Xenopus tropicalis: one gene and its partner. The protein of the gene in region 1 purifies or fractionates together with the protein of each later gene. This does not show direct contact. Links are inferred from orthologs where the notes say so. Each region holds a gene or a part of one and is shown on either strand. Other genes may lie near its edges. The genes, in order: rab27b and sytl4.

Region 1 (3,806 bases):
TATTGTTTCTCCTACTCCCATGTAACTGGAGGAGTCCCAAGCCGGACTTGGATTTCTTACTATTGAGTGCTATTCTGATACCTACTGGGAGCTGCTATCTTGCTCCCTTCCCATTGTTCTGCTGATTGGCTGCTGGGGGTGAGGGGGGGGGGATATCACTCCAACTTGCAGCGCAGCAGTAAAGTGTGCCTGAGTCTGAGCTTTCAGAAGGAGCCAGCGCTACACATTAGAACTGCTTTCAGCTAACCTATTGTTTCTCCTACTCCCATGTAACTGCTGATTGGCTGCTGGGGGTGAGGGGGGGGGGATATCACTCCAACTAGTAAAGTGTGACTGAAGTTTATCAGAGCAGAAATAACATGGCTATGGCACCCTGGGAAATGAAGAATATGGCTAGCCCCGTATGAAATTAAATATAAAAAAAATCTATTTGCTCTTTTTAAAAATGGATTTCAATGCAGGATTGTGCTGGGGAAGCTCTATTAACTGATGGGTTTTCAAAATAAACATGGTTTCCCATGACAGAATCCCATTAAGCCATAACACTTACTCATCCAGTTTCTGACATTCAAGAAGCTCTGTTGGCTAGTGAGATCGAACATTAACAAGAATCCCATGGCATCTCTGAAAAACGCTGTGGTGAGACTTCGGAACCTACAGAACAGAAACGTCTGTGTTAATTTCATACATTTATATAACTGAATATGAGCCAATGGGGAGATGAACAAAACACATTACAAGGGAGGTGGCAGGATAACCTAGAATATCCGCTGGTGTTCGGCATAGACTTGGAGACTCTCCAAGAACCCCCGGGGGCCATAAATTCTCTATTGAATTGAACATTATTGCAGTCGGCTTCCGATTATTGATGGGATTCACGAGAAGCTCCAGGCCAACTTTTTTCATAAACCAAAAGTGTTTTATTGACAACAATGTCTGTGCTAAACTATAAATAAATAATCAGGAGGGAGATAGCCTGGAAGAACCATCTATCACTGGCCAATAGAGCAGGATAGCTGATTAGATGAGTTCCTGGGGAGTTTACCAAAGTTTGTTGGCAGCATTTATACAATATAGGAAGTTAGGAATATAATATTTAGAAGGTGTTTTCCATTGAGAGAAATATATGTCCGTCCAAATTACATCAATATGGGTAAAAATACACCAAGTACCATTGATGTTCCAATATTTAGCCATAATCCCCCCTCCCCCAAGTTGTAAACTCAAGATATTTAGGTGTAGTGTATTAACCTGGCCATGTAGCCCACAGCAAGAAAGGTATCCCAGATATTTTACAGAGCACTATTTTGGGGAGTGGGGCTTGCTAGAGGGGGATAGGCCTGGCTGAGGAGGAGTTAATGTAAAAAGACTGAAGGATAGCAGATATATTAGGGAAAGTTGGGAACAACAGCACAGGATGGTGACAACAAGGGCTATGACCAAAAGATAAGTGGCCAGCGATAAATGTCCTCTATCGCAAGTGACTAATCTCCTCCAAATGCCTTCCCACCATGAATAATGGACGATTTGGACTATGGTAAACCATAAGAGTACCTTCAGCTTTCTGAAGATGGCCAAATTTTCTTTGCGAGGCAACTTTGGAAAGCCAAAGCCATATGGTTTACATTATCGCAGGTAGGAAGGCATTTGGAGGAGGTTAGTCGTCGCGGTATAGGAGATTTATTGCAGGCAACTAATATCCTCGTCTGTCATTACCCTAAAGGTCCCCATACAGGGGTCGATTGTAGCTGCCGATATGGGTCCCTTGGACCAATTCGGCAGCTTATCGGCCTGTGTAGGGGCAGAACGAGGGGCCTGCCTGACTGATATCTGGCCTGAAATTGGCCAGATATTGATCTGGCAAGGTTAGAAAATTCAGTTGGATCGGGGACCACATTGGCTCGTTGATGTGGTCCCCGAATCGACTGCCCATTGCCGCCAATATAATGCGATCGTTTGGCCCCAGGGCAATTAGCCTACACGCTCCCCGATATCACCCACCCATAGGTGGGGATATTGGGTGAAGATCCGCTCACTTGGCGATCTCGCCAAGCGAGCGAACCTTAACGTGGGGACCTTAAGCTGGGAAGTGGATAGTAGGATAAGATGATAGAAATAAAGAGAATGACAGCATGTCAAGATAGTGATGATAGTAGGTTATACTGTTTCATTGCTGGCCAGCCTGCTTCAGTGCATCTTATAGGTTTAGATACTTATTTAGTTGGACGCCACTTATTTTTATGTTGGTCTGTCAGATTATATCATCTCACTATGTGGACTATGTGACCTATGGACATAAATATGCAGTTATCCCCTGAGGGGGTGGGTTTTACTTATTGATTCACCACAATTATACCGGTACTTATTTTATCCTTAGTGTGTCCCCATGACCCTAATGTAGCATTGCAGCACTCATAACTGCATAACTTGCAAATGTTATGTCTTAGCAGACCAACCTAGATCAACCAACAGATCCCTTCCAACAACAAATGGTTAAATCCCAGATAATTCCAAGCCTAATCCATGTTGAAGATACACAACCACATTTTGAGATGTAGGAGTATGGCTGGTAAGGTTTTTTGCTGTAGATTACATGAAGTTGACTGTATGAGACCATCAAGAAGGGTTGCAGTACCCTCAAATGCTTGCCTTGCTTTACTAATATCTAACTAATGGGATCAGTTGAAAGATTCCTGTAGGACTACATTGGGTTTCACTTTGTCTCCTTCTCCTGTCTCCAAGTTATCGGAGTTATTAATACAAAGGTGATTTCAGTAAAAGATGATTTAATAGAGTATGCAGTTACAGAAAGTTGACCAATTCTGATGGCCTGTTAGGAAATAGAATAGCCATGTATAACTGTATGGTTACCGTTCTTGTCCCGCTGTGTCCCAAAGTTGCAAATGAACCTTGAATGTTTTGCCATGAGTACCGCCTGGTCCTGCATTGCTGTATATCTGGGCAATAATGACACAATATAACCCAACATTAGTCTTGTTTCAGATGTTACATGCACATTGGACAGGTCATGGAACACAATCATCAATATAAAAACAAAGAAACTGCCTGGAAGGTTAGAAGAAGTACAAATACATCAAATACATGCACAATGGTTGCCTTCACCTTAGCTTTATACAACTTTGGACTGGACCACCAGGATACCAATGCAAAGCCAAACCTCCTTCCAATCACAACTCTGGAGCTGGTCATGAGCTCAGAACTCAAGGGTTCTTCACAAGGAGAGCATCATGGCCCCAGCATAACTCCCCAGGCATGTTTGCTTATGGTTTCTCTGCTCCTGCCATGCAGACTGTGGAAGGACACATTTAGGGGCAGACAGAATAAAATGGGAAAAGAAAGAAAACGGAATGGAGCAGTAGACATATGTGGGAAAAGACCAAAGATAAGGGATGAGAAACATTAAAAAGTAGGAATAGGAAAGGTTTAGAAAGAGGATAGAAGATGTACCCCAAAAAATGATGGGAAAGGCCAAAGGAAAAGAAAAGGGAAAACACCAAAAGAAAACAAGTAGTGGTAAAAGAGAGTAACTGGAGATAGAACAAGAGTGAAGAAAGGTTGGGACTAGAGGATAACAGAATAACCAAAGGTTATAATGAAGGTAACTGTTGAAGAAGCTGAATGTTATGGGTTGCTGGGACCCTTCTCTAAGGTTCCTGGTGGCCCAGATGCCATCACTACGGTGCTTTCAACTTCCAAAGGGTGTTTTACATAAGTCCTGATACACTATTATTTCCAAGTGCTAAAGACAACTCATTGCAACCATGCATGTAATTAAAGGGTTTCTG
Region 2 (3,828 bases), on another chromosome or scaffold:
AGTGAGAACCTTTAAATAAGAATGGCCCTAGTGATTAGATTTGGGCATGGCACTCTGTCCTGCTCCATGGTAGCTCCTTCCACTGTATGTAGCAGCATCAGGCTCCACATAATAAGAAATCTTTAAGCATTTCCTCAGTGATCTGAAGTACCCATGGAGGACATTGTACAGTTTCTGCCAATGCCACTGCAGTATATCAAAAAGGCCTTTTCAGAGCTGCTGCAGTACATTATTCAGGTCTTACTACTGCACTCAAATCAAGAGTGCACTCTGGAGAACAAAATAAATCAAATGTGATTCTTTATTGTTTGATCCTTTATCAGGTGATTTTACAACCATCAGTGCTCCATCACCCCAGCCACTTTCCTGCAGCATACCTGTAAAAAGCTAACTTCTCCAATATGATGACTGTCATGTGGCTGGCTGAGGATGCAGCTTTTCTGTAGTAATGTTAATGAAATATGATTTTAAATATTCTGGTCCGATTTGTTGTCGTCAGTAGCTTATCTATTGCAAATGATACTGTTACTTATCAAACCCTCACAGCAAGAAACACCTTCCCTGCCCCATTGGTCAGAAATGATTTTCTTCACAGCAGCAAACACAGTTCCTACACAGCTCTCTATAATATTTGACATTTGTAAATTTGACATGCAATATCAAAGGTAGAATATGATATTTATTGTGGGTTTTTCTTCTTTGCCTTAGTATATAGTTCCAGAATCTATGCTCCATTTGAGATCCCTTGAGCTGTCCGTCTGGCATTATGATCGATTTGGCAGAAACACATTTCTAGGGCAGGTGGATATTCCACTGGATTCCTGGAACTTTGACAGCTTGATAGAAGAATGTCTTCCTCTGCATGGAAAGGTAATATTAAAGTATTTCAGTCATTTGTTAACACCAACCACTTGCTCTGATAGAAGAATAAAACTGTTATTAAATCTGCATTTTTACAAAAATGTGTTTTTAAAATTAGTATATACTGTTTTTCTTTTTATATTCCCAATATGGCATAAAAGCTGCTGAGATACTGGAGTCTAAGGAGCAACAACTGGAGTGTCTTACACTAGCATATCATTGCTGTGATCATTATCTAAAACACCTCCTATAAATTAGGCAACACCAAGGCTCCAGATTAGATGTGTCCCTCCAAGGTTTTTTTTATGTCCCCAGTCTCCCCAAGACATATATATTTTCTTTGTTTGACATCATTTTTAATAATCTGACTCATGAACACATAGTACAGAATATTAGATAATGAACTGACTAAATGAAAGATGATAGACAGCATTTAAATTAGTAATTCAAAAGCTGGTGGCCAAGTTGGTTTTATGCCACTAATGTGTTAGCTATTCGGTAGTGAAATTCTTGCCTTTGTTATTTAGGGCAACATGGACAGTGGAGCTGGCTTTTATAACTCCAAAGGGGAGCTGGTGGTTTCTCTGAAGTACGTACCACCTACCAAGCCCTCTGGAAGTGAGAGGCGAAAAAGTAAGTGGACAATTGCTGTGTATATCTAGTAACCATTATTTAGACTGCTTTAGCATGAGGTCTTTTTTATGGTTCTTCATAATACACTTAAAATGGATACTGCTGTCACAAAATGAGCCCCTATTCAGTGGTGTAACAAAGAAAGACTGGACACCCCTGCAGAAAAATCCTCTGTGGAAGGTGGGGAAGAGCCTGGAACGCTCAGTCTCTTCTCTTTCCTCTGTGGAAGCGGCTGTGGTTGGTGGCTGCTACCATACAGCTGACCCAGCAAAAGGCCAGGACCTCAGGGTCTGCTGTGTGGTAGTCCTTCCTTGTCCATCTTTCTGATTCATTAACTTTGCTGCCCACTGCAAACGAGCAAGCATCCCTCAAAAGATTTTGTTTGCAGGGGGTAAATGAACCACTCCCCCTTTTTAATATTTCTTTACAGTTTTTTATTGCACCGTTATATTCTGTCAAACCACTGAGCATAAATACATTGATAACATTAACGCTCTATGGTGTTTTTGTTCTGGCTCAGCTAAACAGCACTGTATTTATATCAACTGTAGTCATTATGAAGCGTAAACACAATTACCATTGAAGGGCAACAGTATATTATATTTTAATTATTTTGAAACCTTTTAATTTTTTGGTGTTACTGTTCCTTTTAAGTATGGAGTTCTTGGACGCTGCACCCCTGCATATGTTAAGCAGAAGTAAATCATGCTCAAATTGAAGACATATATGGGAATTTATGGGAATGCCCATGCCCTTCCCACATGGCATCCTTAATGATACAGATTCAACTTGCATGATATTTACATGTAGGTGCAAATCTTGTAGCCATGTTAGTACACAGTGTTTGACTTGTGTCTGACAAATTTATGCTGGAGTTTTCAGAGATATGGTGCATAAAGTGTACTGTACCAATTTTTGCACCTTGCACAATGCACTGAGATGGCTGCCTACACACCAGTACTGCAACTAAAAAGAATACATTTGTTGGTTCAAGAATAAGAATTTAATTGGGAGAGTGAATTACTGTGTTTGCTATGTAAACAGTGTAATTTAAAAATCATGACAGAATCCCTTTAAAGCAGTGCTGTCCAACTTCTGTTGTACTGAGGGCCGGAATTTTTCCGACCTACGTGGTGGAGGGCCGATAATGGAAGCCAGTTTTGACCACTCCCCTTTTTGAAACTGCACCTACTTGAAACCACACCCACGTTATCACATGACCATAGCCATATTAATAGTTGTAGTACAGCAAAAACCTGCCATACTCTGCCTTCCCTACCCTGTCTGTGTGTGCCATACTCTGCCTTCCCTACCCTGCCTGTGTGTGCTATACTCTGCCTGCCCTACCCTGCCTGTGTGTGCCATACTCTGCCTGCCCTACCCTGCCTGTGTGTGCCATACTCTGCCTGCCCTACCCTGCCTGTGTGTGCCATACTCTGCCTGCCCTACCCTGCCTGTGTGTGCCATACTCTGCCTGCCCTACCCTGCCTGTGTGTGCCATACTCTGCTTGCCCTATGATGTATGGCACACACAGGCAGCTTACAGTGACACAATGCTGGCACTGCTCCTACAGTCTGCACTGTATATTAAAAAACTATATATTAAAATTTTTTTTAATTGAAGTCCCACCTCAGTATATGTTCTTTTTGTAGTGTGCAGGGATTATTTGTGGGTTTCTATTGCTCCTGAGGTGTGAACAGGGGAACAATGGGGGTGATTACAGCCTGAGCCTGAGGTGTGAACACTGCAGGGGGTGAACAATGCAGAGATTAAAAGGTGTGAACAACACAAGGGATTACATATTTAAACAATACAGCCTGATTACAGCCTGAATCTGAGGTGAGAACCATGCAGGGGGGGGCAGTTAATCTCAGTACTGATGCCATTTAAAGCTTACACAAGAGTAAGCCATCAAAGCAGCCAGACAGGTGGGGGGCCACACAGAGGGGGGCCGCGGGCCACCAGTTGGACAGCACTGCTTTAAAGTATAAATAATCTTGCAATTATTGTAAAGGCCCCTGGACACGTTTTCTGAAAAAATATTTTTTTGATTTTTGAAACTAGAAAAAGCAGATGAAGGAGGAGAACTTCATGTCTGGATTAAAGAAGCTAAAAACCTCACTGCTGTTAAGACGGGAGGGATATCTGACAGCTTTGTTAAAGGGTGAGTAGACTACCAAAGTATATTATTGTTTCCAAGGACTTCTAAATTAGGGCTGCACTGAATCCAGGATTCGGCAGAATCCACAGTCCTAAAAATCACATGACTTTTTGTCATGTTAACACCATTGTATGGGGTGACATTTAACCCTTCCAAATGCTAATTAGCATAT

The links.
Region 2: the proteins of rab27b (region 1) and sytl4 purify together in Homo sapiens (co-immunoprecipitation; 3 studies listed by BioGRID and IntAct, counting the BioPlex papers as one, with this or other methods). This does not show direct contact. The link is inferred for Xenopus tropicalis from reciprocal best matches to the Homo sapiens genes RAB27B and SYTL4.

Annotation. Positions count from the first base shown.
Region 1 is NC_030677.2:203,256,448-203,260,253, forward strand, and holds part of rab27b (ras-related protein Rab-27B), read right to left. Parts: intron 2,958-3,806; coding exon 2,872-2,957; intron 655-2,871; coding exon 551-654; intron 1-550. UniProt on the Homo sapiens protein: Small GTPase which cycles between active GTP-bound and inactive GDP-bound states. In its active state, binds to a variety of effector proteins to regulate homeostasis of late endocytic pathway, including endosomal positioning, maturation and secretion.
Region 2 is NC_030684.2:64,624,813-64,628,640, reverse strand, and holds part of sytl4 (synaptotagmin-like protein 4), read left to right. Parts: intron 1-708; coding exon 709-870; intron 871-1,388; coding exon 1,389-1,494; intron 1,495-3,559; coding exon 3,560-3,659; intron 3,660-3,828. UniProt on the Homo sapiens protein: Modulates exocytosis of dense-core granules and secretion of hormones in the pancreas and the pituitary. Interacts with vesicles containing negatively charged phospholipids in a Ca(2+)-independent manner.